Linked DNA regions of Cricetulus griseus. The protein of the gene in region 2 interacts with the protein of the main gene of each other region in a biochemical or structural test. Links are inferred from orthologs where the notes say so. Each region holds a gene or a part of one and is shown on either strand. Other genes may lie near its edges.

Region 1 (9,862 bases), on a different chromosome or scaffold from region 2:
AATTGATTCATATTTCATCAACCTTGGAAATTTATCAGCTGGTACTTCACTCCAATCTTGCTCCTCCCCATGTCCTCAAATTAGTTACTGGACTTTCACATTCTCATCTTGTCTTCTGTATTTCCCCTCCCATTTCTGTTTATACTGTCTTCTGGGCACTTCTCCAGATCTTTCCTGTAGGTCATTAATCTTGACTCAATTTGTATGTGTGTTTGGTGGTGAGAGTGTTGTGTGGTGTTCATGTGGATGTATGCACCTATCTGTGCAAGTGTGCATATGAAGGCCTAAGTTAGGCATTGAGTAGTTTCGTCAAGTGTCTTTATCTCAGCCTTCCTTTTTGTTTTGAGACAGGGTTTCACTATATTCTTAGTTGGTGTGGAACTCTGTGTAGACCATGCTGGCCTCAAACTCACAGGTACTCATCTTCCTCTGCCTCCAGAGTGCTGGCATTCATGGTGTGTGCCACCACTTCCAGCTCTCCACCTCATCTTTCGAGGCATTGTATCTGAGCCTGGAGCTCAGGCTAGGCTGGCTACCTAGTGAGCTTTGGACGTTCTTCCTGTCTGTCATTGTCCCATGCCTCCCAGCTTGAGTGGAGTCCATTCTGTACATGGGGACCGTGACACCAGAATCTTCTCTATTTTTAAATGGGTGCTGGGAATCCACACCCAAGTCCTCATGTATGTGCAGCAGACACTTTACCTGCTGAGCCTTCTCCTCAGCCCCTGGGTTATTACTACTTCTTTTCAAACCTCATGAATCATCTGAACAATGTAGCCCTTTAGTCGTTATAAAACTTCCAACTACTGTATTTAACATTTATTATTTTATGTGTATGAGTATTTTGCTTACATGTATGTCAGTGCACCATGTGCATGCCTGGTACCCACAGAAGTCAGAAAAGGGTTTCAGATTCCCTGGAACTGGAGTTACAGATGGTTCTGAACCACCATGTGGGTGCTAGGAATAAAACCTGGATTCTCTGCAAGAGCAATGAGTGCTCTTAACCACTGAGCCATCTCCCCAGCTCCCACTGATTTTAAATCGCTCCTTTTGTTCTTTAAATGTATATGAAACATACTAAACATGTTTATCTGAGTGTGGCAATTCTGATAGCCACTGTTTTTTGTGGGTCTGATGTCATTTCTGCTGATTTTCTTATGGTAGTTCTTAACTTTGTAATTTTTGACTGTATGCTATGATTTTAGAATTTGAACTTCTGGTTTCTTAAGGTCTGGGTGAATGCTGCATTCCCTGCATCTGTAGGGTTCTACAGATGTCCAGCTACAACGTCTCTAATTTTTATGAGGTCTAGTTTATCTTTTTCATTTTCTTGGCTGGTGCTTTTTCTGTCCTGGAAAAGAGTTTTCACACTTCAAGGTAATAAATAATTAGATATTAGTTACCTGGAGGTTAGAATTGAAGGTTTGTTGGGAGGAAGCTTACCCATCCCTGTCATAAGAAAAAGTCCTCCAGGGGTTTCTATCTCATATTACACTGCTAGAAATTCATTTTGGTTAAATATAACAAGTCCTTTCTTTCTCCCTAGGTTTCAGGAAAAGGAAGATTCTTGACCTTTTTTTTCCCTGGCAACTCAGCAACACCATTCCTCCTCTTGGAAGGTGAAGATATTGGTCCTTTGTTGCCTTCTCCTTCCCCGCTGGTGCTTTGTTCTCAGCATAAGATCATCACCCCCAGAGCACTCCTTCCCTTAGTTGAATTTACTAAAGTTATATTTTCTATGGAACCTTGGCATTATGTGTGTTATTTGTAGTCTTATTCTGGCCAGGCTGGTGGCATATGTCCTGTGATCCCAGAACTTCAGGGTGGAGGCAAGAAGGTTTCAAGCTTAAGGACAGGGAACTTACTATAATGAATCAAAGCCAGTCAAAGCTACCTAACAAGATGCCTAAAAACCAAAAATAACAATAATCTGTCTTATTCCAAAGGAAATTTAAATGACCTAGAATATAGCTTTAAAAAAAGAACAACAACAAAACTAAGGATAAAATAATGGAGTCTGGAATGAAGCTGTTATGTGTCTGGGGTCACTAAGAGAATCACCATGACCATAAATAAATTTTAATAAGAGGCTTTATTAAATACTGATACTGGATACTCATGGCACAAGGACTCCAACCAAAAGTGCTCCCAAAATGTAGCTTCTAGTTACATCAGCCCAAGGCTTATAAAGTCAAAAAATGGCAGGATTACATGTATTCTATGTGTAGGCAGGTCTGATTTTAACATACATGTCCTACAGTTGTCCTAGCCATTGAGCAGAGTAAGCAAGTTTGATTACAAAAGCAGAAATAGCAGTTAGTTTTATGACTTATTGTCTTGCTAAAATGGCAAATTTGACAAGATCTGTCAATTTAAGAATAGTCTTTACAGAGTGGTTGTGGTGCATGACTTTGATCACAGCACTTAGGAGACAGGGGCAGGCAAATCTCTTGAGTTCAAAGCCAGTCTGTTCTACAGAGCAAGTTCCAGGATGTCCAGGGCTACACAGATAAACCCCATCTGGGGGGGGGAAAGGAGTGGACTGGTAGGTTACAGCCTGTACAAGCTAGGGGCTTACACGTTAACAGGCTTTTTTTTTTTTTTTTTTTTTTTTTGGTCTCTCAAGCATAGTAACTCTAATTGTAATGTTAACCATTACAAAGGCAAAAAAAAAAAAGCTGTTAGACATATGCATATATTCTATCTAAATCTAGTTCCTCATTGTAAGGAAACAAAATATTTGGATAGGTAGTGTTGCACGAAAAAAATAAAAGACCGAGAGACAAATATTGGGGTTCAAGCTGAAGATCAGGGAAGCAAAGCAGCCAGCCACTAGCTCTCACCTCAAGCTCAAGCTGAAAGGGCAGATCCACACACGAGCTCTTCACCAAGCCTCAAACTGCTGCCTCTCCTCAGTGTGGCTGGAGAATGAATGCCTCCTACTGAATCCTGAAGACCCTGATTCTATCTTCTATACCCCTCTAGTGCTGGGATTAAAGGTGTGTTATCTGTCACTCTTTTAGACCGATTCAATGTCATGTATCCCTGGGTGGCCTTGAACTCAGAGAGATCCATCTACCACTTAATCCTGAGTTTCAGGACTAAAGGTGTGTACCACCACCTCCTAGCTTCTGACTGCTGGGATTAAAGGTGTGTGCCTGGCTTCTATGGCTTGTGGCTGACTTTGATTCTGAATCCTCAGGCAGGCTTTAATAAATCATAAATAATATATCACTGCAAGTGATTCAACAAAATTTAAGCAGATGTCTTTGAATTTGTTGCGGCGCCCCCCACAGCCTAGCCTTGGTATTCTTCAAACTGGGAACTAGAATAACAGGGAATACTTTTATTTTAGGACCTACCACGCTGGGAAAATTCCAAATTTAGTGTGCTCTCCCTCCCAGACTTACAGAGAGAGGACTAGAACCCAGTGCGTTTCCTGCTCCTGGAAAACGGTTTCTCGACAGAATGATAAGAAAATGGAACTTGGCCGAGTCCCACTTACTTTCCCGCCCAGGTTTATGGGTACAGCTGACAGGGTTAGGGGTGCTGAGCACACAGATCGCACATCCTCTGCGCTCCGCAGCTCCGGAGTTGACTCTTCCCCCAATGAACTTAGGCCCTGAAGGAGCTGGCCCCGCCCCACAGTGACGTCACTTCTGCTACCTGCGGCGTCTGCGCAGTGTTAGAATACGGCGGAACTGATCTGGCGACGCCTGCGCTTTTGCCCGAGCCGTGCCGGTGAAGGGAAACTGGGTTCTGCAGGATGCGTCACACCCGGAAGTGAAAGGCCGGAAGTGGGATTGGACAGGTTATGCCCAGGGGTGGGGAAGCAGAGGCCCTGGAGGAAGGGAAGAATAAGAATCCAGAGGTTCCTGGCCGCTACTCTGAATCGAGTACCGGATCTCTTAGATCCCAGAAGCGCAGAAAAAGGGAAGGGTGTCCCATCCCGCTTCCTGGCTTTTCGCTTTAGCCATGGCGGAGGCAGGGGCCGGGCTGAGTGAGACCGTCACTGAGACAACGGTTACCGTGACAACCGAGCCCGTGAGAAAGGCGGGCGGGGGGGCCTATTTAGGGGTCTGGGAGGAACTGGGAGGGAAGTAGGGCTTTGGAAAGTTGGAGGGTTTGGGATCTGGGACATGTGGGGATGACTCTTGGGAAGATCGCCAGGGACTGGGGATGCTTGGAGTGGCTCAGATCGTGATAGTGACCAGTCAAGGGACGTTACAGTCAGGGTATAGGTGTCACGGCTTGATGCGGTGGTCTGTGTACGTAATAAACGGAACCTGGGTTAAGGCAGCAAGGAAGGTCCTGGGAGGGAAGGAAAGGCTATTTGAGAAAGCATGGTTTTGGAGGCAAACGTAAAGGACGAGTACTTAACCAATAGATAGTCATGGAATGGGTGCGTGTTAAAGTGGGGGGCAGGGAATAAGGAAACAAAATAAGGTGAAGGTAGTATTTTGACAGATCAGAGAGGAGAGACGCAAATAAGGAAACAAGTAGAATTTTGCAAAAGCAAGTTAAATTGCTTTCAAGGGGAGGAAGATGGGTTGGGCGTAATGTCTGGGTTGAAGGAGTTTAGTAATTATTGCCAGAGATGCCAGGATGTTAGAGAATGAAGGCTTTCTTTGGAGAAGAAGGGTTTTGGATTTTTGTTTTATTTTGCTTGTTCAGGTGTGGCAGGGGCAGAAGTCAACCTTAGATTTTTCTCAGGCACGGTGTACCTGTTTGTGTGTGTGTGTGTGTGTGTTTTGTTTTGTTTTGTTTTGCTTTGCTTGTTGATTTGAGAAAATCATTTTTCCTGGAGCTGCCAAGTCAGCTAGACTGGCTGTCAAGAGATCTGCCTGTCTTCACATCTCCAGTACTGGTATTACAAACATGCACCACCACTACACCTAACTTTTTTTTTTTAAATATGGATTTTGGGAATCAAACTCAGGAAGCACTTTACCAACAGAACTGTCTCGGAAGCCCTGCTTTATTATTATTTTTTAAATTTTTATTTTGTTTTTGAAAGGAAAAGCTTTACCACATTGCAGAGGCTGGCTTCTGTTGGCTTCTGTCTCCGTCTCCTATATGCTTAGCTCACATGCTTCTAATCTCTTTAGCGGGAACGTAAGTAAGAGGTGTGGAGAAAGGAAGGAAGGCCAAAGACCAGTCACAGGGAACTGAGAAAATAACTCTCCGGTATTGGCACCACCAAGGATGATTTGGAAGGAAGATGAAGAAACAGGGAGGGTTGTGCTTTCCTTTGGAGATTTACCGGCACCTTCCCTAGGTTAAGGACTGTCCTTTTTGCATACTAGTAGTTTTCAAGAATAGGAGTTCACATTCCTCATGAAAAGGTTAAAAACATGGTCTGTTTTGGCTCCCAGCACCCGGCTCCTCCAGTGGCCTGGTGTATGGTACTGATTGAGCAAGGGAGGAGAAAAGAGGAGGTACCTTGGGAAACAGGAAAGGTCAAGAGGAGATTAGCTAGATGGGCCCATACCTCTTAACCTTACAGGAGAATCGGAGCCTAACCATTAAACTTCGGAAACGGAAGCCAGAGAAAAAGGTGGAATGGACAAGTGACACTGTGGACAATGAACACATGGGGCGCCGCTCATCAAAATGTGAGTGCTGTTGCCCCAGCAGCCCTCACCACTGCCTCCCAGACCTTTACGGTTCTCTTTACTTTCTTGGGAAAGAAAATAGATGGGGATAGAGCTAAAACTAAGAGTTGCCAAGTCTGTGGAGCAAGCCATGTCGGAGTGGGAGAAAGATGCTTCTGGGTCTCTGAAGAGACAAAGAGTGTGGATGCCAGAGTCCCTGGGGTGGGAGGCTTAAGGGGCATGGATTCTGGAAGGTGGGAGAAAAATTGCACATAAATCTGTTGGAAATGAAACAGACTGGACATTGTGTTCCTCATCCTTCTTAACTGATTTCCTCTCCCTACATCTAGGCTGCTGTATTTATGAGAAACCTCGGGCCTTTGGTGAGAGCTCCACCGAGAGTGAGGAGGATGAAGAAGAAGGTTGTGGTCACACACACTGTGTGCGGGGTCACCGCAAAGGACGGCGTCATTCAACCCCAGGACCCACTCCAACCACTCCCCCCCAGCCTCCTGACCCATCTCAGCCCCCTCCAGGACCTATGCAGCACTAAATCCCTCTCACCATGTGTCTGCCTGGCCCCAAATGTATCCATCTGGCTACATGGGGATTCAACCCATGGTCTGATCCCTTCTCCTGCCCCCTCCTTCCCTCTCCTGCCTGATAGAGAAGAGGAAGAGGAGGGTGGATAGAGATCCTGGAATTCTGACTTGCTGCTGTTCCAGAACCCAGGCTTCTGGGTTCTCCCAGCCTCTCCTTCCCTACAGTTTGCTCTGTGCCTGGGATTCAGGCATCTTGGTCTCAGTCTGTCCCTTTTGTTCTCACTGCCAAAACACCTGTCCTGGGATCCAGTTATCTTGGCCACCTGCACCCTTAGCTTGAGTCCCAAGCATTTAAATTGGGTTTTCAACCATCCCAGCTTTCACTGCCAGGACCCCAGTCAGATTCCAAGCAATATTGCACCCCAGCTCTGCATATTAATCCTGGCTTACAGTTCTTCCACTTACGAAGTTATCCTAAATCTTAGTCCTTGCCTGTGGGAATCTAAGGTTTTGGGGACACCATAGGGTTCTGCTCTTACCCCTTCTGACCCTCAAAAGGGTCAGAACCTATAATGGAAAGTGGACCCCAAAAATAGTCATGACCTGAATATAGCATTTCTGAGCTGGCTGAGACCAATGACTTAGAGCCTACAAGTTTCTCAGCCTTTAATCTTTGAGCTTCATCGCTGTTGTCTAAGGGGCCTGGGTCCCTTAAAGGAAAGAGGGAGAAAGCAGAGATGAGGGAACAGGCCCTGCAGTACACTCCTACCCTTTCCTGCCTGATGTCTCTGCCAGCCCAGGTGTCTTGCTCTCTCAGCCCTCCCCAACTGGTGCTGGGATCTGGGTATTGTCCTCCAGGCCTCTAGCTGTGCACAGTACAGAGATCAGCAAAACCCATACCACCACTGAGATCTCATTTATTGCCACAGATGCACAAAATAAATAACCCAACATTGCGCAATGTGTTAAATACAGGTCCATTTATACACATGGGGAGGATGGGAAACTATACAAGGATGTTTGGGATGCCTGGACTGCTCCCAGATTGAGAAGGGGGGTAGCACCGTCGGTTCTTTTGTGTGCAAGATGGATTTCCAAGAGGATGTTTAAAGGGAAGAGGCTATGAGCATAGAAAACAGTCATAGAAGAAGTATAGAGGGTGGACTAGCTTGCATACACATCCCAAAATTTATATTTTAGGTTTTGGGTCTGAAGGGCTTAGGTTATGAGTTGATCATCTTATTTTAGGAGGACCTATTTTTCTTGAGGGGAATTCAGGCTCCAGCCTTCCTACTGTGGATCAGGCCCTAGCCCTTTATGATTGGCGATAAATGTGGACTGTTTCCCAGTACTGGTGGTATAGAGCCTTTCCCTATCCCTGCCTGGAACGGTACAGAAAGGGAACTCAAAGAAAAGGTTGGGTTTGGGCATGGAGACGCAGGACCAGACTGGCTTAAAGGCACGGATGTACAAGCCATTTTGAGGTCTTGCTGTGGGAGAAAGAATGTGAGTGGGTAAAGGGTGCTTATTAATGCTCCTGCTGCGACAGGTGTACGGACAAGATTACTGAAATAGGTGGAGATTTCTGCACCAGAGAGAAGTAGCCTCCAGGCTAAACTAGGGTAGGAGGTAGGGAACCCAGACACTCAGCCTTCTCCAGGCACGATGCGCAGTGGGGAGCGGGGATCACAAGTACAGAGCAGCGGGAAGACCCGCTCCCCCAGCGGTCTGGGCGCCTGGAAGGCGAAGAGCAAGTCCAGTGAGCGGCCGTCATAGAAGGCCACACGGCCCCGCTCCCAGTCCAAGTCCACGCGAATGCGCTGAGGCGGGGGCCTGGCTCCGCCTAGCAGAGTGGGCTCTGGGGCCGTGAGTGCCCATAGGCGGCCGCCACGGCCCTCCACGGCCCAAACAGCCTCGGATGGGCACAGCTTGATGAGGCCCTTGCGCGTCACCGATTCCCCGGCCGCGCCCACGGCATAGCAGCTCTCTCCTGCATCCTCATTCTCCGAGGCAGAGTCTCTGAAGGACGCGCCCTCCACGGTCTCCACCTCCCAGCAGTGGCGGCCTGACGCGAAGCCCTGGGCACCCAGCACGGCTAGGAGCTGATCGAAGCGGGCAGGGCTGTCCAGCGGCTCTGGCGTTCCAGGTGGAGCCAGACTCACGCCTCGGTTGTCAGAGGAGATGAGCAGACCACGGTGTGCAGTGCGAGGGTCAAGTGTCAGATCAGCTGCAAAAGAGAGGCCGGGGAACACCACATGATAAGTTTCTTGAGTCCGGCCAAGAAGGGTGGAGAAGAGACCCTGTCTTAAGAACAAAACAAAAGGCATAAACCCTTGAATCTAAGCATCTGGGTGGGGTGCAGGAGCCAGGTCAGCAAGACTTCTGAGGGAGGCTGAAACCTGATAGGAACCAAAGTGATTGAAGGAGGGGCAAAGGGAGGACTCTAAGGTATCCAGTAAAACCAGGCCACTCACCCTCGCAGAGGCAGGAAGGGACAGGCCCGTTTCTATAGGAGATGCAGCCAGAGGAGAGACAGAGATGGCCAAAGGGACCAGAAAGAGCCACTGACTTTATAGGTGTGGGAGTGGGGGAGGGGAGCTTTAAGGAAACACTTCTGGATTAGGAGCTAGAAGTAATTTGGATTAAGTGAGATGAATGTGTGACTAAGGGGTAGAGCATCTTCTCCAGGCACTTTAAAAACAAATGGAGAGCTAACTTGGGAATGGGCAAAGGGGTAAGAGATACTGGACTCTCCGGACCCTTCTCAAGAGCAAAGGGAGAGGGTAGAAGCAGGGGTTCCTGAGAGCGATCGGGTACCGTTTAGGTGTCCACAAAAGGATGAGGGAAAGTGGCCGAGATCTGAGGAATTAAGGATGATGTTCTGAGTTTAATCCTGCGTCCCGCCAGGTGTGGTGTTACATACTTGTAGCCTCTGCACATTAGAGGAAGGTTAGAGGCAGAGACAGGAAGGAAGGGATTGACTTCTACACCAGCCTGGGAGACACAGGAAGACACTGTTTAAAAAGACTGGAGAAGTTTCACTTTTGTTACCCAACTTTCTGAATTTACTCTACGTGGGAAAAGTATTTTCACAAAGGGAATCAGGTAAATACTGAGACCAATATTCGGGTGGGCCCTGATGCAGTATGACCACTACCTTAAAGGGGAGAGGAGACACTGAGACACAGACAAGGCACACAGAAGGAACCCCAGGTAAGACTATATATGGGCCAAAGGAGTGCTGAGGCTTCCAGAACCCAGGGGAGAGGCATGCAACAGATTTCTCCTGAGCCCTCACACTTCTACCTCTATACTTTGAGGTGTGGATGGTTGCTCAGTTCACCTGTTGTTGGCACTTTGTTATTTCAGCCCTAGGACATCAAAACCGATACCAAAAGGGGCTTCACCATTTCTGACAGTTGAAAGGAAGCAAACAGCACACATTACGTTCCCCTTCCCTTCCCTCCTCACCTGTCAGTCTGTGAAGCATGTTCTTTACCACAGGGTAATCTTCAGGTAGCTCCTCCCCTGAGTTAGATGACTTGGGTGTTGGGACATCAAATCTGGACAAATGAAGGAAGTTGTCAGCATTCTTGTGTCTTGATGCTAGTTCGGATGACCCCAATCCTAACCCACTTGCTCTCAACAGAAACAGGTGAGGCTATACTCCAGAAAGCCTATTGGTAAGTGGAGACAAAGATCTGGCCCTGGAGAGGAGGTGAT
Region 2 (9,828 bases):
TTGCCTGCTCGAGGGTGACAGTCATGTCACTCATGTAAAAATTCGTCAATCATGTAAAAATTCGAATATTAAGTTTACTGCACTGAGAGCAAAATTAAGTCATTCTCATGAGCTCAAACTAGGGAGCCAAAGGCTAAATACTCCACTACTGAATGAGTAAAACGTAGGTACAGAAACACATTAAATCTTTGAAAAATATTTTTTTGAGGGGGGGATATAGACATTAAGGAGGCAACTAAAATATTACACACATCTACATCTACTCATACATCTTGCAAGTGAGAGTTAAGTGAAAGGATAGTATAGTCAAACCATGCCGAGATACCAACCTGCTGATTACAAAGACACACTGTACCTGACAATGCAGTGATGTGGTGGTCAGCACCTTAACCAAGTGAGCATATCACCAAGAGTGGGGAAACTTGGAATTATATGGCTCCTGATGTGACATAATAAAAAGCAGACAGTGTCACTTATCTAGTACTCTTGACAAAAATGTTTAACAAGAATCTAATTATGAGGAAACAGTGATCTAGAATGTGGCACATTTTGAGACATTTGGTTCCTTTAAAAAGTTTAGATTATGCAATAAAGTTTAGATTATGTAGGTGAGCTAAAAACAGGTAAAAAAGAAGCAAGCATGCCCTGCATTCAAAACTCAACACAGGAAAACTCAAATGCAATGAGTAGTATCTAGCTGGGTCTCCAAAGGTGACTGAAAAAAGTGACATCATGTCATCACTGCTAATTTTCAGGTTATACTTTATTATTTAGGTTATATATTTTATTCTTAGGGGATGCACAGGAAGATATCTAGAAGTTGATGTCATGAAGGTATAATTTGCTTTCAGATAGTTGAGTAAAAAAGAGCCAGGATGCGTGAATGAGGGCAATGCTCTGACACACTAACAACTGGTGAATAAAAGTGAAATAGCTAATGTTTATTCATTTTCCTAACCTTTACGTTTGCTATGGGCTTTATAATTTCTAAAAGAAAATACAGGGAGAAATTATAAGGATTTTGCTTATCATTCAAGTACAGGAAGATATAATTTTTGTCTCCCCTACAAAAAGAATGTGAAGTGACAAAAACCTAATGTCCACTTAATTTTTCTACTTTTGACAAAATTATATTTTTGAGAATGAGAGATAAGAAAATTTAAGTTTGCTCTCTACTGTAATACTAGAAAACTCAACAAAAATATTCACAATAACAATATATGTGATTCTTCTAAACCTCTAGTTTGTTGTTTTTATAGTTCAGAGATCTTAATGACAACAAATACATCCAGGAAGTCATCTGTTAGACTAGGTATCACATCACAGAAACTTCAGGATTTACAGATTCTTCAATGGGGGACTAAAGACTCCTATAGGTCCCGTGCATGGCAGTGAGAAACCCGCTGGCCCTCAACTGACAGACTGCACATGAATGCTGCTTTGGAAGGGTCTGCACATTTCACCAGAGCTCAGTGAGCCCGAGGACAAACATTAAAGAGCCATCATGTCTGAGAAAAAGGATTGCATATGGTGCCTATGATAATATCAGACACCAAGGTAATTCTTCAAAATATTTCTTTTAGCTAACTATAAAAATTTTGCAATAGTACCTCCATATCTATTTTTTAAAAATTAATTTTAAAAATCCTCAAGGTCATTTAAAATAGTTTAGGCTCAGTGGGCTAAAGAGGGTAGAAGTCTGGGGGCAACACTCACCGATGCGGCAATGTTCTTGGGCTCTTAAAGGCTGCAGCTGTAGATTTGTCAGGCTTGGAAGACTTGCATTTCACTTCATCTTCATATAATCCTGCCAAGGCCAACTACACATAACAACAGGCTTGTTATTCAGTTAGCAATGGAAACAGACTTCTAGACAGCCAAGGAACAGGTACCAGCTTGAAACTGAGCATTAACAATTTTCTATGAAAAACTGAAGGCTGTTGCCACAAACGTTGTCTTTCCAAAACGAGCAACTCCCGAAGTCTCACACTATTCTATTATTCAAACTGCCTTGGGCCAGAGAAAATTTGTTATGATAATTCTTTTAATTAACTATTCAACAGTTTCAAAAACTGAGTTTGGCAACACAATGGTTTCACATTTGGATCTGTGTAACTTCCAGCTTTTAAAGAACTTTTGAGGACAGTTCACAATATTGCCAATTTCTCTAAATCAATCTCATAATATAATTTCACTTAGCTGTTTTTAAAACTCAAGAACATAAAACAAGCTCAAAAGTACTGCTTTAAAGTTTATCAGACATAAATTTCATCAAGTTCAGAGAAAAGAGCTAAAAAAAATGAGATAACATTTAATGCAAAATTACATATTGCAGATATGTAGCTGAATACCTTCTAAATAAAGTAAAAATATATTTGTCCTTGAAACAGAATTTAAAATATTAATCTGATTATTACAGGTTCCCCCCCCCACTTTTGCTATTTGGGGCAATAATTTAAAATTTTTCAGCCTGGCATAGTGGTACATGCCTTTAATCCCAGCTCTTGGGAAGCAGAAGCTGGAGGATACCTGTGATTTTTGAGGCCAGCCTGGTCTACACAGTGAGGGGACTGTCGGGGCTGTGTAGAGAGACTGATTCAAAAGACAAGCAAAACAAAAGAAATTTCCTTAATGCTCCCCACTGGCTATTCAGTCGGTATGATTTTTGATCTTTGGTCTCCCACCCACTTTACAATCAAACAAGCCCACTCCCTCACCAAGTAACTATTTGTGTATTATTACCTCAGAAGGAAAAGATGAATAAATAAATGAGGCAAACTTAGCCAGTCATTTTCCAGGGCTGCAACCTGAACCCAGGCAGGGTCTAATGCATGATCATGTTTTTTTAAATGAAAATATAATTCCACCATCTCCCCCTTCTTCCCTCCCATGTTCATACACCCCCTTGTTCTCACTCAGCTGGATCCAAGCCTTAACTTAGGCACTTACTGTGTAAGTTCGGTGGATTACTGAACATCGCTGAGTTTAGTTTTTATGTCTTTAAATGCCTACCAAAATTTAAAGACATAAATTTAATCAGTTGAAAGATTCATGTAAGTAAAGTACAGGCACGTCCATTTCATCACCACAAGGTCTTTTTTTTGTTTTGTTTTGTTTTGTTTTTCGAGACAGGGTTTCTCTGTGTAGCTTTGGAGCCTATCCTGGCACTTGCTCTGGAGACCAGGCTGGCCTTGAACTCACAGAGATGGGACTGCCTCTGCCTCCTGAGTGCTGGGATTAAAGGCGTGTGCCACCAACGCTTGTTGTCAGTGTCCCTGTTTTCACTATCTTCCAGCACAGTCATCTGTCACCCTTCACTACTTAACAGAGCTAGAGTCATTAGAGAGGAGGGCAACTCAATTGAGAAAATGCTTCCATAAGATGGAACATTTCCTTAAGTAGTGACTGTGGGTGGTGTCACCCCTGGCTTAGGGATCCTGGGTTCAATAAGAAAGCAGTCTAGGCAAGCCATCAGGAACAAGCCAGTTAAGCAGCACCCCTCTAAGGCTTGTCTCCAGGTCTCTGCTCTGCTTGAGTTCCTATCCAGACTTCCTTTGATGATGAAGAGTGATATGGAAGCCTATGACAAATAAAATCCTTTCCTCCCCAAGTTGCTCTGGTCATGGAGCTTCATCATAGCAATAGTAACCCAGACTAAGACAACAAGTTAAGTGGCTTCGGGGTCGCCTGTAACTACCAACCAATGCTCAATACCATTATAACTTTGCACTGATTTGGTCTATTAAAGCTAGTTTACAAGCCTGTTTCAAATCTGTGGATACCACACAACAGTATCCACTACTACTTATGGATTTGATGCCTTATTTATCTCCAAATTCTCCAAAGCTTGAGCAGAAAGTTATAACAGCAAGTGGTCAGTATGTCTGGTTAAAGAATGAAGATTAGGTATTAAAAATGTTCTGTCAAGGTTTGACAATTCAGGCTCATTTATTCTTACCTTTAACCCCTAACATACCCTAACATACGTTTAATTACTCAATTTTATCAGTGATCTCATGGGGAGATAGAACAATGCCTAAAATGAGCAAGTAGTGTTAGCATCTGATAAAACAGCATTTATTTAGGGGGCAAGTGTTCAGCTGACTAATGTCAATGTCACAATATACCGAGTTTTATTTCTGTTACATTGTTTCATGGATTACCTCTTATAAGTGGGCTGTAACCACGGACTGAACTGTTTTAAGCTCTCTCCTTAAAAAACCAGAGCTTTTTGATAAGGGGGGGGGACTGTTTTTAATGTGTAAGTCTTCAAATCTGAAAGCTCGTCCAAGAGAACAAATCAACATGCGTTATTTTTAAGTTACTTTTTAAGTGATGGCTGACTTATCACAGGCCATGGTAACTCTCCAGAAGGCAGGCAGCATCAACCGGGAGCCACCTAGATGGCCCCGCAAAATGACATTCCAAACAACTACTTGGTGCACCGTGCGTGGCGAAGGGGATCCAGGTGCTGGCGCCTGCCGCTCGGGCACCCGTTTCCACGCCCCCCACCCCGCAATGTGCCTCCGGGAGAGACCTTGGCTGGTAATCATTCTCCTCAGGCGAGGTACAGCGTGGCTGTGGCCCGCGCCCTCCTGCCCGCGCCGCGCTCCTGCCTCCGTACCTGTAAGTCCCGCGCACTCGGGGGCCGTGGCCTCGAGGACCCCCTCTCCTGCTCCTCAGGGTCCGCGCGGCCGCCCTCCGCCATCTTCCACCCTCTTTCGGCGCCCGCCCCGGACTCGCGACTTCCGGGATGGTTGCTTAGCGACCTGGGAGGGGCGGAGCCTCTCGGTGACCAGCCCCTCCGGGAGGGGGCGGAGCCGTGTCTTCTTACGTCAGTCCTCGCTCCTTTCCCGCACCAGGCTGCAGTCCTTCGCTTTGGGCTTCCGGTCCTGCCAACCTTCCAGTCTTTGTTTGCAGTCACTGCCACTTGCTGGGTTGTCCTAGAGCGCAGCGTTGACTTGCTGATTCGTTTAACTCAACAGCTTCACCTTGCAAGTCTTGGTCCAATCTCTCATTTTCCCTTATCAAGGATTGGATGGTACATCCCTCCGCGTGGAACCGTGTGGAGGAAGAGGAACACAGTGAAGCTTTTGGCAATGAAATGGTGACTCTTAAGCCGCGGGATTGACTGAGTTCTTTCCTGTCTTATCCTAGGCACTTACAACCTCTCAAGGATTTCCCAGGTAGAAAAAAGAAGTCCGGTCCTCTATGAAACTTAAAAGCTAGTGAGGGAAAGACATAAACAGGTAACAGAATAAATTTGTAAATAAGCTTTGCAAACAGTATTATGGAAGGCCTGTATGTGAATGGAGAATAATCCGTTGGTACCCGCTGTGTGCATCGTGCTGCCGTACCAGCTTACAGTGTGTTGCTTTGGCATGTTCTTAAAAAAAAAAAAAGGCAAATTTTACCATCTAGAGAAGTTGAAATGGAGAGGTCTATAACAGACCTCTTAGAATTAAACCCACATCCTAGCCAATTTTGCATGATGGCCGCTGGTATGAAAATATATCCACATAGGCCTTCAGGTTCGTATGAAGACACTAGTCACATGAAAAAATTTTTTCAATAAAATTTGTGCCTTTTTCTCCTGTGAATCTATTCGGTTTCATTCTCAGGCCCAGCTGAGACTCTGAGAGTAAAGGAAGACGTCTCCTCCTCCATTTTAATGTATTCCACATGTATTTGAGCAAAGCAAATGATAGTTAAATTCACCTTGTAACTAGCAGTACAAACTACCATACCTTGTAGTGCTGTCCTGATATTCTAAATACACATTCTGCCTTAAAGGGTCCCATTAGCCGGGTGTTGCTGGCGCACACCTTTGATCCCAGCACTCGGGAGGCAGAGGCAGGGGATCTCTGTGAATTCAAGGCCAGCCTGGTCTCCAGAGCGAGTGCCAGGATAGGCTCCAAAGCTACACAGAGAAACCCTGTCTCAAAAAACAAACAAACAAAAAAAATGGTCCCATTACTTCTTTGACAAGAAATGACCCAAAGAGCCAATACCTTTTTATGTGGAGCCTTGAAGAAGTAATTCCCACAGACCTCAGATCAGGAAGGACAAGCAAAGAAAGATGTGTTCTAAGACACAGATATTGGAAGTAGCATGTCAAAAAACAAATAGTACATGGTTGTTTAACAATGGGAAAACATGGGTCAGGAGAGCCCTAGATTGGAGATGTAGGTGTGAGATAGATTCTAAAGGAATAAAATGAATAAGTGGACATCCTCATCAGGTACAGACAACTCTAACTTTATAACTTAAGTAAAACCCTGTATGTGTGTAATTGTACTTATGCCGAACATCACTGAGGTCAGGATCAGAAATGGCTTTGTTTCATCTGTTGAAAGATTTTTTTTTATCTTGATTCTAAACCGTTCCATAGAATGGAGTATAATTACCCTTGGTAAGTTCAATGGCTTGCACAGACCATGTATATTTCCTTACAATAGCCATCTGGATTAGATATTGTCTTTGTAACATGGAAGTAAGTGGGGAACAGAGAAATAAGATGTATTTTTGTGCCACTAGGTTAATAAGCCCCAGAATTAAGTTTTAAATTCAGGTGCACTATTCTCAAAAGTTCATACTTTTCTCTTGACACCATCACCACCCATTCCTCCCTCCACCTCCAGCTGTTCTGTAGCTCCTGGCAAGACTGCATCAAGTTAACTCCTCAAGGACGCCTTGCTACCTTCATTATTGTTCTTTTGGCCATACCTCAACAACATCCAGGTCCTAAGCAATGATATTCCCTCAGGTTCTGCTTTGACATTTCTTTCTTCTTTTTTCTTTTTCATTTTTTTTTGCTGTATGTGTTTTTATTGTATATCCATTCTTATGCCTGTCATGCATTTACAACTGATTCTCATTATCCACAGTTGTGTTCCACAAACTTGATAAGAACACTAAATTATTGAATACTGAATTATTGCTGTTGAGAGATGCAAGGTTATGTCCTTGGAGCCTCTGTTTATATTTATCAGCTAACTGATGCATAACCTTGCTATATGTCTGTTTCTGTGTAAAGACACCTTATTTAATATATACTATGGTTTCATTAACATTGATCTCATAGCCCCAGCACTATAATTCTTTCTTGAAGGAAGCTTGCCTAACATGTTTTCTCTTGAAGGTACATCTGCTTAGGAACACTAGACATTACTTCAGCACTGCATTAGCAGGCAGCTTTACATAGATTCCAAAGGAGAAGTGAAGCTGGATTTTCTTTCCTGCCAGCCTGGTCCTGCAGCCGCCTCAACCCCAAATAAGCACATGTAGACTTATATTAATTATAAAACTGTTGGCTGGTGTCTTGGGCTTCTTATTGGCTTGCTCTGTCTTAATTATTAACCCATTTCTTTAATCTATGTGTTTCCATGTGGTCTTGGCTTACTGGAGAACGCCTGGCATATCCTCTCTTCCCAGGCTGTCTCTTCCCAGGCTCTACATTTCCCAGAATTCTCTTCATCTCCTAGCCCTGCCTATACTTCCTGCTTGGCCAATCAGCCAATCAGTGTTTTATTCATCAACAAAGAAGAAAAACATATACTGAAAGACACTCCCATCAGAGAAGCACAGAATATGAAGGATGTGGCATTAAGTAAACTGCACAAAGGGTTACTTGTTTACAGAGGAAGAGCTGGAAAAGGCAGAGTGTCACCTTGTTTGACATCCTTTGGAAATAAATTCATTCAGCAACTTAAATATTTGCTTCCCTGAACATGTCTGTGTTTTGGGGTGAAAAGCAACTTCTATTAAGTATATAATTCTGTATATATGCACTTTTCAAATAATGCAGATTGACTGTATCTAGAGTTTCCCCGCCTATTTTTCCAGTTTTTTCTATTACTCCAGACCAACATTCCTAATTGCTTTTTCAAATTATATTTCCATTTGGATGTCTCAGAAACATTGCTGCCTCAACCCCAAACCCTCTTCTTTCTCCTCCAAACTTCCGCCTTTTGCTTCTGTTCCTTATGGTATCATCATCTAATTTCTATTGGATATTAGTCATCTGAAGGTCACTAGAACAAGGGCTCTTGAAGTAGATGTTGTGGCCAACAGCAGAAGTTTCAACATTTTTCCTAGCTGAAGTATAGCTCCAAGCAAAGTATTCTAAGCAGTGGGATTGCCAGGAGAGAGGGTATATAATTGACAGTTTCCCACCCAAGGTATCCAAGCACCAAGAAAAAAGACTGACAGGTGTCAGTCAGAAGGTGAGGTTTTAAGAATATATAGGACTGGCTTTGAGAAGGGTGAGGTGTGGCTTGAATGGAGAGGATTGGAGAGATGGGCTGAAAATGATAAAAATGACCATAAATGCAATGCTAAATGTTTGGTTCTTATTTCTACCAAAATATCTAGAAGAATCAAAGGGTTTGGTGGATAAAAGCTAATCTTTGCATTTTAGCATTAATACTTGCATTGACCAGATCAACAGAAGGCAAGACACAACTCTGAGGAGTGCCATAAGCATTTGGAGGCATCTTGTGGGTGGAGGCAGAGAGACCATGAACCAAATCAGGCTTGTGATGGGATGGAGGTGGGATGTGGGCTCAGTGCTTCAGCACAGTTAGACCAGGTTTATTCTTGAAATATTCTTTGTGAAGATAGTGTATGTTGTTGGCATGATGACTATTTAAATCTTAAGTTTTGATGTCTTCTTTTTATAACAATTAAACCTGACTGCATGCTTATCTAACCCTGACTCATGCATCTTTGAGACAGGGCCTCACTAGGTTGCAAGTCTTGGTCTTGAACTCCTAGGTTCGAGCAATCAAAGCTAGTCCCAGAATTGAATTACAGGTGCCTATCAGCATGCCTGATTTCTATATTACCATACTTGATTGGTGATTTCAACATATGAGTCATATAACAATCTGTTTATGTTAGCTACTCTGAAATTTGTAAAGCTTTGGGTTCACTTTTTCTTGCATCTTTGCTGTATAGTGAACATTTTAAAAGGATATTATTGAGTCTCTGGATTATGTCATCTTTCTCAGGAAAGGGCTGCCATTTTCCATTAGTTCTAAGATGTATCTACTTGTCTTAAATGCTGTCCTGTAGCTCTTTGTGGGTTTCTGTGGAAAATCAAGAGTGATAATCAAGGGCCTCTGAATTCCATGGATTGCATTCCAACTCTGCCTCCAGAGGGTAAAAGCCTGATCTCTCACTCTACCTTTTGTTAGTTTCCACCTGTTTTTTGTTTTGTTTTTTGTTTTGTTTTGTTTTTAACGCTAGGAACAGTTGAGGGACAGAGGTTTGTGAAATAGTCTTTCTTTCCTGCAGGATTTGGAATCCCTTCTTTTGTCTCTCAGTCACTCTCAGTCCCAGACTCTATGTATGAATCCTGAGTCCAACAAGAATGCTGCTTCCTCCTCACATTCTCTTTCTCATGTGCAAATCTGAGTGAGGGGAGCTGTTAGATGGGAAGGCATGAGTTGAGATCTACCCAGTGTGCTCCTTTCTTTGGGGGCTTATGTTCCTCCAGTTGCCTGTCTGCATGTGACTGCTGGTTGGTCCCGAGCTTGTAACTGTTGTTAGGAGATTGGTGTTATGTGACCTATTCGGACATCACTGGATCTTCAACTTCAAATTTGCTAATACTGTTTGGTTTTGCATTTATGTTAATGAATAACAGTAACCCATCCTTACACTTTCTTATAAATTCCTTGTTTGGTTTTATCACCAGGTTTATTCTGGCTTTGTTAGATATGTGGGGAGGACCCTTGAATTCTTCTTTTTTTAATCCCAAGAAAAGCTTAAGTTGTATTTCTCTTTTGTTGTAATTTTTGTTTATTTAAATATATTTTAAATTGC
Region 3 (9,826 bases), about 290 Mb from region 2:
TTCCATACATCTCTGAGACATTGGAAGGAAGAACTTCCAAAAGGTAAAAATGAAAAGACCTGAAATCAGAGGAAAGCTATCTTACAACCCCTAAAACAGGACAGAGACTCCAGTAGAGAGCCAATGTGACCCCAACTCCACAAAATATTATGTCCTAATAACCTTCTCAGAAGCAAAGAATGCCAAACACAGGCCGAAAGGTTTTCAGAATTACATGTATCAAATATGTGTCCAGTCCAGCAGACTTACCCCTGTTTGATAGGAGGAGTGTGGATTGAGGAAAGAAATAGATAAGAAACAGAAGACAGAGTCAGGAGGGCATCCAGCAAATACCGTGATCAGCCCCAAGTTTATTGCTCCAAGTTCTTATATACCCCAATCAAAAGAGGGGAAGGCAAAAGACTTCCTTACCAGAATACAAGGAACAAACAAATGTAATTACCTCCTTAACACCCAAAATACCAAGTAACCACACCCTAAACCAAATATTCAGTTGTTTAGGTAAGACATACAATAACTACTCCTTAGGCCAAACATCCTGTGGTATAACCTGAAGGAGCAGTAATAGGCTCAAACTCAATGACCTAAGTCAAGACGGAAGGAAGCCATTTCTATGGGCCTCCACAAATATGCTATCTTCAAACCAACTGAGAAGGAAAACTTCCTGAGAGGGTACATTGCAGGGACCAATTTAGAGAAAGCTATCCACATAAGCAGCAAGATAGACAAGGACTATTCGGGCCAGCATGGTTTGACAAAGGCAAGGGCTGGTAAACCAGTCAGGAAGAAAGGCAGGTACCTAGGCAAAAAGGAGAGAAGGGAAGAAGGGAGAGAGAAGAAAGAACAGCAAAAAGAAAATAAAACTTAAATGCTCATGAAGAAGAAAGCTATGGTATAATCAGCAGTGAAAACAAGGAATTGTACAAGAACCAATCTTAAACCAGGAACACACCTGCTTTTAATCCCAGCACTCAAAATGTAGAGGCAGACAGATCTCTGTGAGTTCAAGGCCAACCTGGTCTACAAAGTGAGTTCTAGAACAGCCAGGACTGTTACACAGAGAAACCCTGTCTTAAAAAAACAAAAACAACAAACAAAAAGAATGAATCTTAGCAATATAAGACATGAGAACCTTCCCACTACAAAAGATTACATATAACAAGATTCCTTTATTTTAATATAAAAAACCTAAACACACTGCTTAAAAAAACAGTTTAACAAGACTGAAAACCCAGACTTCAGAAAGATGGTTCCCTTGAATCTGGAAGAGAACTAAAATTAGGAGGCAAAATGGGACAGCCTTCTACTTCCTAAATTGGGTTTAAATGTGTTTGTTTTAATTTCTTTTAATACTTCTGTGTGTGTGTGTGTGTGTGTGTGTGTGTGTGTGTGTGTGTGTGTGTGTGTGTGTGTGTGTGTGTGTGTGCTGGAGCCTGAAGAACTCAGAAGAGGCATCAGATTCCTAGGAACTGGAGTTACAGACAGATAAGTCACCATGTAGATGCTGGGAACTGAACCCAGGTCTTCTACAAAATAGTAAGTATTCTTTTTTGTTTGTTTCCGTAACAGAGTTTCTCTACAGCTTTGGAACCTGTTCTGGAACTTGATCTGTAGACCAGGCTGGCCTCGAACTCAAAGATCTGTCTGCCTCTGCTTCTGCCTCCTGAGTGCTGGGATTAAAGACGTGAGCCGACACAACCCAGCCCAGTAAGTGTTCTTTACTGCTGAGCCATCTCTCCAGTCCTCAATTTATTTCATAATGATGCAATGTATTTTTATTAAATGTGAGTGTGTGAGTGTGTGAGAGACAGAGAGAGAGAGAGACAGAGACAGAGAGAGACAGAGACAGAGAGAGAGACAGAGAGAAAGACAGAGACAGAGAGAGTGCCTATGTGTGGAGGCCAGAAAACAACTTTCAGAAAGTCAGTTCTCTTTCTACCATGTGGGTCCCAGGTATCAAACCCTGTCAGCCTTTGGCGGCAAGTGCCTTTACCCCCTGAGCCAAATTGCTGAGTCCAAACTGTTGGGCTTTATTTACTTTTGTTTTTTGAGGCAAGGTCTCCAGAAGCACTGCAAGTGCTGGGAAGACAGGAAGGCACCATCAGCCTGGCAATTGTTATTTTTGTATGGAGGTGAGTGAGTATTAAACTCAGAGCTATCCACATGTTATGCAAACCCTCTACCACTGACTGATAATGTGTAATTACTATTTACTTCATTATTTTACATGTTACATACACAGGCACATACACTCAGTGTGCAATTCTAAAAAGCAACAGTGCAATATGAAATAAAAGTAGCAGCCGGGCAGTGGTGACACATGCCTTTAGTCCTACCACTCAGGAGGCAGAGAAGGCATATCTCTGAGCTCGAGGCCAGCCTGATCTACAAAATGAGTTCCAGGACAGCCAGGGCTACATAGTGAAACCCTGTCCCAAAAAAACAAAAAAAGAAAAAGAAAAAGAAAAAGTAGCTACATAGAGCATTCAAAGCTATATAACCCCACCTTGTCTCAAACAAAATAAAGATATGTATGAGATAGGAATTTTTAGAAAGCATGACTTTCCTTCAAGTAGCAGTTTTAATGTCAAAGGTGTACTTCTCTAGGTATCTAAATGCACTAATTCCTGCTATAGCAAATAAGGATTGGATCACACTGTGGTTTTCTGCTTTTAGAACCAACCTATAAACAAAACTCAGGACACCTAATTATGTCTCCCTAATACACTGCCAGTGTCACCAAACCTTGCTTTGTTTTTTCGAAGTTGTATCACTTCAGCATACAATGCTATGAAACCTTAATTTATAGAAAAAAAATACCATTCCTCAAGCTAAACTGTCAATGCTACAAACTTCTATTTTAAAAGTCATACAGGAACTGTGGAGATGGTCCCTGTGTGACAAGTTCTTGCTATGCAAACATGAAGACCTGCGTTTTCATCTTTAATCACATAAACAGCCAGGCATGGATGCACGTACCTGCAATCCCAGCATAGGGGGTGAAGATCAGTGAATCCCCAGAGCTCACTGGCCCGCTAGCCTGACCTAAAAAGGGAAGCTTGCAGTTCAGCCGGGGCACTCCGGAGCTGGCGGCTCCCTGTGCGCGGGTCAAACGGCCGGAACCCGCCAGCACCCGGGGCCGGGGCCGGGCGGAGGGAGTGCGGCGCGCGAGGGAAGGGCCAGAACCGCTCCACGACAGCGTGAGACCTCGCCTGGCCGGCCGCCACCCGCAAAAGCTCTTCCGAACACTGGCGTCTCACCTGAGCCCGGCGATCGTCCCCCGACGGATTCACAACGTGAAGATCCCGCGCGCTGCCAGCCCACCGCCCAATCGCAGAACGACTCGCGCAGAGTGACAGGGGACAAGAACCAATCAGACACGCTATGGGCGGGCCTCGGTGAATGCGCGCTGCAGAGCGCGCGCAACGGTTGCTAGGGACTCGCCGGACGCTCGCCCTACCGCGCCTCCGAGGAGCCAAAAGAGACCGACGTCTCTGCCCCACGCCACGGGGCTGCCGTTTACGCCCACGGCGGACCGCGAACGGTGAGCGACGCGCGGCCCGCCTTTTCTGTGGAGGGTGAGCGGAAGCGGACGACACGGGGGTTCATCGTGGGCTGCAGGCGGCGAACGTGCCCTCCCCGGCCGGACCGCGGCCCCTCCCTCCTGCTCCGAGCATCCGTGACAAAAAAGCGGCCCGTGGCGCCAGTAAACCAACGCGCAGGCGCGGAACACAGCGGTCTCCCAGGGCCGCCGGCCCCCGGTGCTGACACACATCGGCGAGGCTCCCGAGGTCGGGGATACGAGGCTAACCTGCCTCACCTGTGGCCTGTAGCGCTCTCCTGGCCGCAGTACCTCCTCCGCGCCTCCGAAGTCGGCACGGTAACGTGGGCGAACCCGCAAGCTTGAGATGTCTGCCATGCTGCCTGATGCTTTGCCGGGAAGTCGGCTTTCGCCCCGCTCGCCTAGACTCCACGCAAGCCTCAAACGCCTAGCTCAGGTGGAGCCGGGGCTTGCGGGAACTACAACTCCCATGAAGCACCGCTTCCACGCAAGCGTGTCAGCTCGCGCTTCTATGCTCGCTTCTATTGGCTGGCTGACAGGGCGGGGAGTTCTGATTGGCCCTTAGCCTGAGGCGACAGATTCCGGAAAGGGGAAGAGCAGCCAATATGGCGGCGGAGCGCGACGGCGGGCCGCAACAGTCGCAGGAGATGATGGAGGGTGAGCGGCCCCTGCGGGCGACCAGGAGGCGGCGAGCTGGGGGCTGGGCGGGCACGGCCTCTTGCCGGATCGGAGCTCGGCCTCCAGCCTCCGGCCGCAGCCACGGCTCTCTGACAGCTGCCTGCTGGACTGGAAGGGGCGGGCGGGGGGGGGGGGGCTCGGAGCCCGGGAGCCCCGGCCCGAGGGCGGCTGCGGTCAGGAAGGACCAGAGCCCCGGGAACAACGTGGCGCGAGCTCGGCCAGCAAAGGGGGGCGGGCGAGGAAGCCGCGGCCGTGGGAACCTAATCTAGAAGCTCCGAGATTGACAGGCGAGGGGGCAGGGGGACTGTCCTCTGTCAGCTCCTTGGGAAACCGAGGTTTCGGGCGTGTGGACCTGCCAAGTCCATAGTTTGTTCGCGCGGCATGCATGGAAAGAGGCTGCTCTGGAAGCGAATAGCCTGTGGCAGAGCGATGGGTAACAAGGAGGTCCGCTGATTGCGTTTACCAGGCGGTGCCTTGTTTTCTACATATTCAGAGTCTTGAAAGGACTAAATTCAACTTTCTTCCTTTTTTTCACTGTTGGATTGTGTCATTATATACATATATAAGTACATATATATATATATATATGTATATATATATATATATATATATATATCACATGTGCTTGTTTTGTACACAGTTGTGTAGATACATAATCGTGTGTATTTATGTGTACATATAGGTGTGTGTGTGCGTATATGTGCATATATAGAGACACACTCCTATACCCATTGTAGCATCAGGCAGATCTGAACCCTTGAATGCCTTTTAAAGACTGCTCTGTATTTCGGTGAGGGTTACTTCTGGAAGAGCAGTCACGCAGTCACTAGTGAAGAGGGTTGCAGAGCAAGGGGCATGGGCGTGGAAGAAAAGTCCAGTGTGTTTGGGAGTGGCCATGCTGCCCTGAGTTGGGCCGTGAAGGATCACTAGAAGTCATCCAGACTGGGGACAGGTGGGGAGGACCAATACCATTCCAGAATGGAAACCCAGTCAGAAGCAAAGGAGTATGGAAGAATTTGACCTAAATAAACTGTCATATGAGGTGGGGGTTGGGAAGAGACGGTGAGACTTTCTAGAAAAGGTCTTGGAGAGTCTTAAAGGGAGTCATACTGGTTTGTTTTGTGTTTTGGGGTTTTTTTTTTTAGTTTTATTTTGCCTTTGAATCTTTTCTAAGCAAGAAAATGCTTCTTCCTCTCCCCTTCCCTCCTACAGTACCCTCCTCCCCTTCTTCCTCTGTTTTTCAGTAAAGGGCAAATACAAAAGCCAGGCTTTCCTCTCTGCCACTCCCACACATGTCACTGCCAGCTGACACCTAGTTTCCAGAGCCCCATGTCTTTTGTGGGTGTATTTTGTGGGTTTGGATGTTTTTTTGTTTTTTTCTTTTTTTCTTTTTGGTTTGGCTTGGCTTTGGCTTTTTGTTTGTTTGTTTAAGATAGGGTCTCACTATGTAGCTTTGGCTGGCCTGGAGCTTGCTATAGACCAGGCTGACCTAGAACTCATAGAGATTCACCCACATCAGTTTGCTAGAGTGCTGGGATTAAAGGAATGTGCCACCATGCTCAGTGAGCTACCTGTTTTGTCACCTTCTCTATCACAGCCAATACCATAACTCAAACCTTCCTCCTCTTGATTTTATGGCCTTTTTGCTAGCCTGTCATACCTAGGCCACACAGTCACCTTCTTGCACACTGCCCCATGCTCTAGAACCTTTCTGCTGTCCTGAGGATAGATGCACAGGTTGCACCAACTGTCCCTTCTGTCTTCTGGGTCCTCCTGGGGGCCATGCAAATACCAAACAGAACCTAGTTTCCCTAATCCTGGATCACAGCTGGTCCTGTGTCTCTTGGGAATGCATACATTCTACATGTCATGCACCCGAGCCACTCTTGTGCCCTTTCTCTTTTGGTCCTGACGGCGGGGAGGTACTCCACAAACTCTTCTACAGATATGAATACTGAGGTTTAGGAAGATCATTTGCCAAAGCCACCTTTCATTGTTGCTTTCTTCGTAACTCAAAACCTGTTTGTTTACTCTAAAAAGCTTTGCATTGCTAACACTCTGTCCTGTGATCCTTTAACATCAGCAGTTTACCTAGGGCATTTGGCACTTTTGATACATCCTCATTTTCATTGGAGCTCCTCCCTGCCCACAGTCTGATTTTAGCTAGTCTTGATTGCTTTCAGAATGTGGGCCTATAATTTGAACCAGTTTTGGTCTTTTTGTTGTTGTTGTTGATGTAGGTATATGGCAGAAGGTTCACAGTGGTTCCCTCTTGTTCTTGTGGTGGATATCAGGTCAAATGTGAGAGCCACCTGGAAGGTACTTCACTATGTGGTGCCATTAGTGTTCCTGATCCCAGATCAGGTCCAGGGGCTTTTAGAACACTTGGCAGTTCTTTACAAGCTCTTGGAGGGAAAGGACAGCATGTCAATTGTGCCCACGTGGCCTCCTGGTTCCTGTCTCTATATCTTAAGTAATGTTGGGACATAGAAGACATTCAAATGTTCATGTCAACTGAATTTAACTATTTCAGAAAGAAGTCTTGCTGACTTACAACTTGTGTTAATCTGTTCTATATTCCTCAAATTGTCGAATGAAGTGGATGTGAATTCTCACTGACGTGTATGGGTTCAGTCGACAGGCGGGTTGAATCTGAAGAATCAGGTGATGAGGAAGGGAAGAGGCACATCGGTGGCATCGTGACAGACCTCAGTGAGCAGAGTCTGAAGGATGGAGTGGAACAGGAGACGGAGGACCCAGAAGGTACTGGGCATAGTTAACCTTGAACTCCCCATATAGTGGGAAGTGTGCTATTAAGATTGCTGCTGCTTTGACATGATTTCTCCTTGTAGGAGTAGTTGTGTTCTTCAAAGGTCCCAGTAGATTGGGCAGCTGGGCATGCTGGCAGAGGGCAGCCGGCTCTCTGGGGTACTGCCTCATCAACTGGCTGATTTACATTTATGGGTGCAGCAGATCCATTTCTGCTGAAGGGACAATACTACAGCTGATGACATTGGCACTAGGTGATGATTAGCACCAAAGCGGAAACAGAAAATGATTTTTAAATCCTTTACTCAGAAAACAAAATCTGAAGAGAATAATGTGGTGGTTAACTGCTATACTTATGTATCCTGCCACAAAGATAAGAAATCATTTCTGATCCAACCTCAACATTGCTTTTTTGAGACAGGATCTCACTATATAGCCCAGGCTGGCCTCAAGCTCAGAGATCTGCCTGCCTCTTGAATGTTCAGATTACGGGTGTATGCTTGTTATGCCCACAACCACCTTGATGTTAATATAGGCCTGAGACTCACTGGAAAATCACTCCATTGGGAACTAAACAGCTTCCTGTGATGGTTTTATACCCTCCTCAGTAATGGCCTGTGCTAATGTGCTTGCTCAGTAAATCAGTTTACATGGAAAGGAACGACAGAAAACATATAACCACCGAGAAATGTCCCAGCTGAATTGTTGGGGCGGGGGATTTCTATGTAGTGTGTATCTTGCAATATGATTTTTAGTTGAAAGCATGAGTATTTAGTTGTACCTGCTTAAAGAGAAAACACAGTAGCATTGCTGAGGATCTCTTTCAACAGCAGGCTTGAGGGGAAGCTGCCTCTTACACTTTCCAGATTTGTATGGATTTTTCAGGTATTCATAATTATGCATTACCTTTATAAAAATAAATTTGTAAAAACATAGCTACTTTTTAAAATAGCACTGTGCACTGTGTGCCAGCAAAGATGATTGGTAACTATGGTAACCAAATTTTAAGGCAAAAGGAGATTACCACAAAAAGTACCCACCACAAGTTTGGAACTTCAGAGCTGGTATTCTGGGGGTGATGTGGGTGCATAGAGCAAGGGCTCTGCCGTCATCATTTGACTCAGTCACAGAAAGGCTGAGGTGTGCGCCACTGAAGAGTTAGGCTACCTGGAAGTCTTGGAAACCAGAGTGCCGTGGTCCTGAGCGTCCTTTCCTGGCTGGCTATGTTACTGTGCTAGGTAACTGCTGTAAGAGGTCTGACTCTAATGTGTGATAGGTGAGGAGAGGGAAAGGCCCATGTCAGCCAGAGATCCCTACTGCAAGGCAGGCCACTTGGGCTAGAGCCCAGCTTGCTTGAAGTCCATGTTCTTGCTAGATATATAGTAATTCTCTGGGAACATGTATTTCTCCTCCTTAAGGAAACTGGAACTGCTCACTCACACTTACGTTTACTTAAGTTGCAGTGTAAAATATTCAAACATGTCCATCATTACCTTCCTATTTTTCCTAACGTGTGTGTGTGTGTGTGTGTGTGTGTGTGTGTGTGTGTGTGTGTGTGTGTGTGTGTGTTTGTGTGTGTGTGTGTGTGCGCGTGTGTGTGTGCACATGTTCACATTTGTGAAATGTATGTGTGCATATAGATTCCAGAAAACAGGTCAGGTGTTGTTCCTGTGCTTGCAGAAACCCTTCACTAACTAACCTGTCTCCCAGAACCACCCCCCTTTTTTTCCTTTCGGTACTAAGGATTGAACCCAGGGCCTCCTCACACCTGCTATGTAAGACTTTACAGCTGAGCTATGTCCCTAGATCCCTAATTTAGAAATTACAACTATGATACACTCAGAAATTTGTTCCAGTTGGTAACTCTATTCCAGATTAAGCTGGTGTTTCAAGTAGGACAGTAACAACCCATGCTGGATGCTATATTAGACAGAAAACTTTGTACTGTGCATCACATATCCTAAGAAGCCTAGGATGGGCTTAGTTCCACCTGCTGGTCCAGTGCTACTGCCAGTAGTGCTTGCTTTCAGTCTCACGGTATCTGGTTTGGACACCAGAGGCCGGCCGGCCTGCTTGCCTTAATTATAGTGCCTTCCTGTCACAACTTCCTGAGCTCATGGACAGTGAATTACTGCTATCTTTGGAGGATAAGGCGACTCTTGTAATGTCTTCTTATTTGTCTAGTTCCTTTTATTTAACACCAGATTAATTCATATCCTATAAATTATGAGTAAACAACATATTTTAGTTGGATACTGTTGATTGTTATAGAAAAGGCATCATGGAAAGTCAGTCATATAGGGCCAGTTGGCCATATAGGGCCAGTTCTTCTGTGTTAAGCTGGTCCCCTACCACACACATGCTTCTCTCTAAGGCCTCCAATGAAGAAACAGTCTGACCAGCACATAGTCTGCTAATATTTGGAGGAGGCAGACATGTGCTGAGGTCAAGATGTATAAGCTGGTTCCACTGTAGATGCTAGTACATGTTTGCCCTAAGGAAAAGAAACAGGAAAAGGGGACTAGGAAAAATAGTAGTAAGTGATAAGAAGTTAAAGGAAATTGAGGAGAAAGAGAGTATTCTGGGACAGAACAAAGAGTTTAGACTCAAAGAAGCACTCAAAAAAAAGAAGCAGCAGCAGCAATGTTTCCTTCTTACAGAAAGTTTCAAGATAAAGTCTTAAGAGAATCACCAGCTATGAAGCTGTGAACCTAGGTGTCATCCCAGCATCGGGGGATCTGAAGCAGTAGGATTAAGAACTCAAGGTTGGACTCAGTGGTTAAGAGCACTGGCTGCTCTTCCAGAGGACATGAATTC

What was found.
Region 1: the proteins of Ubxn2b (region 2) and Ppp1r11 form a complex in vitro, tested with the Homo sapiens proteins (2 studies listed by BioGRID). The link is inferred for Cricetulus griseus from reciprocal best matches to the Homo sapiens genes UBXN2B and PPP1R11.
Region 3: the proteins of Ubxn2b (region 2) and Ppp1r7 form a complex in vitro, tested with the Homo sapiens proteins (2 studies listed by BioGRID). The link is inferred for Cricetulus griseus from reciprocal best matches to the Homo sapiens genes UBXN2B and PPP1R7.

Annotation. Positions count from the first base shown.
Region 1 is NW_023276806.1:228,770,160-228,780,021, forward strand, and holds Ppp1r11 (E3 ubiquitin-protein ligase PPP1R11), read left to right. Parts: upstream 1-3,820; 5' UTR 3,821-3,978; coding exon 3,979-4,047; intron 4,048-5,509; coding exon 5,510-5,618; intron 5,619-5,947; coding exon 5,948-6,150; 3' UTR 6,151-7,100; downstream 7,101-9,862. Other genes in the region: Polr1h (DNA-directed RNA polymerase I subunit RPA12), read left to right, coding at 1,550-1,574; Rnf39 (RING finger protein 39), read right to left, coding at 7,786-8,366, 9,611-9,702. UniProt on the Homo sapiens protein: Atypical E3 ubiquitin-protein ligase which ubiquitinates TLR2 at 'Lys-754' leading to its degradation by the proteasome.
Region 2 is NC_048595.1:154,302,624-154,312,451, forward strand, and holds the start of Ubxn2b (UBX domain-containing protein 2B), read right to left. Parts: upstream 4,771-9,828; 5' UTR 4,709-4,770; coding exon 4,625-4,708; intron 1,821-4,624; coding exon 1,717-1,820; intron 1-1,716. UniProt on the Homo sapiens protein: Adapter protein required for Golgi and endoplasmic reticulum biogenesis. Involved in Golgi and endoplasmic reticulum maintenance during interphase and in their reassembly at the end of mitosis.
Region 3 is NC_048595.1:444,808,597-444,818,422, forward strand, and holds the start of Ppp1r7 (protein phosphatase 1 regulatory subunit 7), read left to right. Parts: upstream 1-4,034; 5' UTR 4,035-4,167; coding exon 4,168-4,219; intron 4,220-6,874; coding exon 6,875-7,003; intron 7,004-9,826. UniProt on the Homo sapiens protein: Regulatory subunit of protein phosphatase 1.